2 linked regions of the Saccharomyces cerevisiae S288C genome follow. The gene in region 1 interacts genetically with each later gene. Each region holds a gene or a part of one and is shown on either strand. Other genes may lie near its edges.

Region 1 (2,963 bases):
ACCTTTTGCCATTTTTGCCTTTGATACCACTTAATTTGAAAAATTTGTTGAACTCCAAAATAACGGTATTCATCCAAAACTACAATGGATTTTTCTTACAGATGGCGCAAGTATTTGAGATTATCTGCGGCCTACGTGTGGGCCTCTTCTTAGTGCCCTTCAATTTTTTCTTGTTGTTGGTAAGAAGAGCAAACGTGTCGTTTGAGGTAGTGGGTACAATGTTGGCAGGACTAACCTATGTATGGTTTTTCAAATTAAGGTACCTACAAAGTGAATCTATGAGGCAGATATTTAAACAATATGTCCTTAGGTTGGATGCATATGTCAGCCGTACTTTGCCCCCATATTGTTCCCGTTTATGGAACGGCTATAAGAATTTCGTTATGACAGTGTTTTGGAAGATACCTGTGTAGCATGCTCATTTTAAGTATATCTAAATATTATTTTGTATATACTCACACTCCTCTATAGAAAGCAAAAAATTTCAAAAACGTTTGAAAAGCTTTGTTTAACGATACTTGTACTTAATTTTAGAGTCAGTTTCACCCCTCCTCTCCCTTTTCATCTGCCTTTTGGATTTGGATTGTCCCTCATTAGCATTTTTTGAGCGATTATCTGCCTGAGTTTGTTGAGCGCCAGGCATGAACATGTTTTTGAGGCCATATAACTTGTAACCAGCATAGATGGGGCACAATAGTAGACACCACCAAAATTTGAATGTCCTGAAAGCTATAATACCAATGTTACCAAAAAGTGATAGATATATCAAATCAAAAAAATATGATATCAAATTTGTATTGTCGTTCAAGTCTATACCTTGTTTTACTACGCGATTGCCATCATATTTGGGCTTACCGGATAGCACAATGATATACAGAGCAACGAACATAGGAACGTTCAAAGCCACCAGCTTAATCCATTGGCCAATTGTAACCTTACGTGAAATGAATAGACGTACGATAGCCATTCCTAAAAACAAAGAGACTTGCTTGTATAAGCCCTGAATTATTTTTGCATTTGAACTAGCCTGTTTCCTCCCTGCTTTGCCAGCCATTCTACCAACACAAACTTAGACCACTGCCTTTGGTGTCTTCTTGAAGCCACACGTGAATACTACCTTTTTTTCATCTATTATCTTTTTTTAATTACGTTGAAATTTTTCATTTCAAAGGCGCAGAACGAAGGTCGACTAATTTCATGACAGTCGGTAGACGTGGAGAAAAAAGTTGATTGTTAAGCCTATTAAGTTCCACTGAGACAAAGACCCACAAAGCTAGCTAGCATTGCCGCACTTCTCCAGAACAATGTTCTCCTTTGTCCAAAGATTCCAGAATGTATCGAACCAGGCCTTTTCAATGGGAATTGTAATGGTTGTATTCATCATGGCATCCTCATACTATCAATTAATCAATAATAACGCGTTCTCAGTACCTAGTAATATCGATAACGTCAAAACTTTAATAAATGTTAGAACAAGTAGATATTTTGGCTCACAGAGAGGCAAGGCAAAGGAAAATATGAAAATTAAATTTGATCTAAATACAGATCTCACTCCCCTATTCAATTGGAATACAAAGCAAGTTTTTGTCTATCTAACTGCTGAGTATAACAGTACTGAAAAAATAACAAGTGAGGTAACATTTTGGGATAAGATCATAAAAAGCAAGGATGATGCTGTGATTGATGTGAACGATCTAAGATCCAAGTATTCTATCTGGGATATTGAAGATGGAAAATTCGAAGGCAAGGATTTGGTTTTCAAGTTACACTGGAATGTTCAACCATGGGTAGGTTTGCTAACTTACGGTGAAACTGTAGGCAACTATACACTGACCGTGGAAAATAAAAACAAAGTTTAGACTAGTCTTTGCTCTCTCAATTTTTGTTAATTATTTACATGATTTTTTGATATATATGCAGTTGATTATACAATATGATATATGCATTTCTAGAATTTACTCACAGGTAATACTCTCTTAGATTTCCTCAGTTCTTTAAAATATGAAAGATGTCTCATTTCAATCTGTTCCCATTTATTGATCTTGCTTCTTGGCATTAATAAGTAATCTTTCATAAAATACTTGTAATTTGATATGAAGTCACGTACCTGATCTTCTAAAGTTTTTAAATCATCAATACCGTCCAAATATGTGTCTAACTGCCTCATTATACTGTTATATGTATCGCTTTTTAAGTATAGTCTGGGCTGAAATTTATTGGGCTCTTTTTCCTTCATTTTTAATGTTGGCCAAGATTTATCACTGGACTGCGTCTTATCCTCGGATAGTTTCGTTAATAGTCTAAATTTATGGATCAAATTATACCCATGAATTAGTGTGTCATCAACGATTTTCATACCATACGAAAGGGTTCTTGGATCCTTAAATAACGCTTCTACAGCGCTGTTCCACGATATATTATCTAAAATAAAACCTTTTTCTCGCAATTTCTTCCACAGTAATGGCAGCTCATCGATTTTATTCATTGCAATCAACTGACTTACTTTATAAGGGAACAATCCGCTGAATATGCTTCTTAGTTTAATATTTGGCGTTGTAGATGATGGCAAGTTTTCAATGTTTTCAATACGATCCATGTATTTAGCGAAAAGTGTTTCGAAATCTTTCCATTGTTCAATTTGAGCTAGTAATACCAACAATGATCTCATCATCACAAATTTATTATTATTTGATATCCAATCATGCTTTTTGAAGAAAAGCTCATTGTACCGGTTGTATAACTCTAAAGCCCGCTGTGGGCTATCATGTTTCACAATCATTCTCATTGGCCATGCCATGACCGAGGGATGCAGTTTGTTATACGTAACGTCGAGAGTTCCATTGGCAGCATTTTCCATGATGTCTTCTACCATATTAATCGTTTCCTTGATTTCCTCATTATTTTGTAGGCTTTTTTTGGCAACGGCCTTCAATATATAATATAAAATTTTGGAATTCGCTGGT
Region 2 (2,906 bases), on another chromosome or scaffold:
GCGCCATTTGGTCTAGGTGGTTCTGTGTTTGGTGCGGATATCAAGGAATGCAATTACGTCGCAAATAGCCTACAAACTGGTAATGTAGCCATTAATGATTTTGCTACATTCTATGTTTGTCAATTACCATTTGGTGGTATCAATGGTTCAGGTTACGGTAAATTTGGTGGTGAAGAAGGTCTTTTGGGTTTGTGCAATGCCAAAAGTGTCTGTTTTGATACTTTGCCTTTTGTCTCCACTCAAATTCCAAAACCATTAGACTACCCTATTCGTAACAATGCTAAGGCTTGGAATTTTGTAAAGAGTTTCATCGTAGGAGCTTATACAAATTCCACATGGCAAAGAATAAAGTCACTGTTCTCTTTAGCTAAAGAAGCCAGCTAGTTTACTTTAGAGGAAGCAACAAACTTATCAATAATTTGGTATTTATTATTATATAAAATGAACTTTTTATGTACAAGATTTATGATTTTTTGATTCTATACACGTTACGAAATTCCTCATTTTACAATGCTTTTTTCAACTTTCTGGAATTGGTCATGAAGCTTGTTCACGTAATCCTTATGCAGTTTTTCCAAATCCCTCTCAGCTTTTCGAACGGCATCATCCTTTTTGAAACTTTTGAATTCCTTTAGAATACTGCCTCTGATAGTTCCTAATGAGTCTTTTAGCGATGACTGCTTATATTCTTCAAATACTCTCTTTAAGTCTTTAGCTACTTTTAACCGGGATTCTGTAGTTGGTGGTGGTAACGAAACTTTCAATTGCAAATCGTTATTTGGGACCCTTTCAGGAGTTAAATTCAGGTTCGCAGCAAGCACCCCACTGATCACAGTTTTCACATCTTTGGGGTCGAAAACTGTTATTAAAAGTGCATTTTTACCTTTCAAGGATGTGGTAGCAATATCTGTAAACTTTCTGTTATTTTTGAACACTAAACTATTGAATACCTTAGGATTAAAATTTCCCTGTTTTATCTCATTCATTTTCTGTTTTTGAATTTCTAAAGTTTTTTTGAATTGAGTTTCTGCCTTTTTCAGCAGTTCATTCACGTCAATTTCATCTTCTTCGACTTTCTCAGTAGGGGTAGAACTTTTTTTCTTCAAAATTATGAAAGATTGACTAAAAGAACGATTAAATAGACGAGGAACGGTGACTGGTCTACAATTTAATCTAGCTGTGGTTAAAATCATTATTTCTTGCTGTTATTTTTCTTGTCAGGGACTGCTCGCCAAAGTTTCCATCTTTAAGCTTACGAATGGACGTATTTAATAAATTGATGTTCTGTTTCCGGACGGGTCCTTATGCCAAAAACAGAATGAATATGCGGCGAATAAATAGCAACGTGAATAAGTAAGTCATGACAGAATATAGAACGGGAATTTGGACGGTTGGTTCAATGAATATTTTTAAACTATTTACCTAGATAAATTAAAATTGTAAAACTAAAAAAACCTAATGAAGTAATCAAAACCCTTTTTTCGATAATCTAACATTTACATGAGTTGATGGATGAAGTGACTGCATTCGCGGTTCTATTCCACAAAAATTTTTTTATTCATAATTCGATGGATATTTGAAATCAGTCAACTCGTAGAAGTTCTCCTTTGTGTTTCTAATACTGACAAATCTGCTTAAAATGTTTGGACCACCAGCCTTATCGTCGGTACCACTCATTCTTGCGCCACCAAACCATTGCTGAGAAACAACGGCACCAGTACACTTATCATTTATGTAGAAATTTCCTGCGCTAAACTTCAACTTCTCATCTGCGTATTCAATTGCTTTACGATCTTTGGCAAAAATAGCACCAGTTAAGGCGTATTGACTCGTATTATCGATAATATCACAGATTTCATTAAATTCAGTATCTGGATACTCGTAAACAGTTAATATAGGGCCAAAAAATTCTGTTGACATATATGGATGATCTGGTCTCTTGGCTTTTATGACTGTGGGTCCGACAAACCAACCTTGGCTTTTATCGTATTGTCCACCGTAAAGAATTTCCAACTCGGGGTCTTTCTTTGCATCTTCAATTACTTTAACTAATTTGTCGAAACTTTGTTCATGGATGACAGGACCCATAAATCCCCGCAAATTCCCACCAGAAATTGGACTTGCGGATGTGTTCATTGGGACAACATTCTGTGACTGCAATATGCCAAACATATCGGATAAGAATTCTTCACTTTTTGACTCTGGAAGATATAACCTGGAAGCGGCAGAGCACTTTTGGCCTTGGAACTCGAAAGTGCCTCTAATAGTAGAGAGTACTGCATGTGATATATTTGCACTTGGGTGAACTAGATGGAAATTTTTACCACCTGTCTCACCAATAATACGGGGGTAATCTCTGTACTTCCCTTCAACAACGCCACTTTGTATTTTGCCATACAAACTCTTAAAGACATTTGTAGAACCGGTAAAATGCAAGGCACCAAAATCTTTATCAGCTAATACCTGGTCAGTAACTTGAACTGGATCACCTGGAATGAAATTTATGACACCCTTTGGCAATCCCGCTTCTTCCAAAACAGTCATCAATAAGTAATTTGAAAGGGCAGCGGTTTGTGAAGGTTTCCAGACAACTGTATTACCCATCAAAGCTGGAGCCCCAATCAAGTTTGCAGCAATAGCAGTAAAGTTGAATGGTGAAACAGCATACACAAATCCCTCTAAAGGTCTGTATTCAGCTTTATTCCAAGTACCATCCGCTGACTCTACGGGTTGTTGAGCATACAAGTCTGATGCATACTTGACATAGTATCTAAAAAAGTCAGATAATTCCGTGATACAGTCGATTTCTGCCTGATACACATTTTTTCCCTGGCCCAGCATTGTAGCAGCTAACATGTCATAACGATACTTGGTGGAAATTAAGTCAGCGGCTTTCAAAAAAATTG

Evidence for each region. Genes that interact genetically often act in the same process or in processes that back each other up.
Region 2: mutations in SND2 (region 1) and RRF1 together harm fitness more than expected from each alone (negative genetic interaction), as found in Saccharomyces cerevisiae (2 studies listed by BioGRID).

What each region holds. Positions count from the first base shown.
Region 1 is NC_001144.5:265,865-268,827, forward strand, and holds SND2 (Snd2p), read right to left. Parts: upstream 1,055-2,963; coding exon 509-1,054; downstream 1-508. Other genes in the region: PER33 (Per33p), read left to right, coding at 1-413; signal peptidase complex subunit SPC3, read left to right, coding at 1,305-1,859; PET309 (Pet309p), read right to left, coding at 1,949-2,963. UniProt on the Saccharomyces cerevisiae protein: Functions in the SND pathway, a SRP (signal recognition particle) and GET (guided entry of tail-anchored proteins) independent pathway for targeting a broad range of substrate proteins to the endoplasmic reticulum.
Region 2 is NC_001140.6:182,353-185,258, reverse strand, and holds RRF1 (Rrf1p), read right to left. Parts: upstream 1,194-2,906; coding exon 501-1,193; downstream 1-500. Other genes in the region: MSC7 (meiotic recombination directing protein), read left to right, coding at 1-384; PUT2 (1-pyrroline-5-carboxylate dehydrogenase), read right to left, coding at 1,555-2,906. UniProt on the Saccharomyces cerevisiae protein: Necessary for protein synthesis in mitochondria. Functions as a ribosome recycling factor in mitochondria.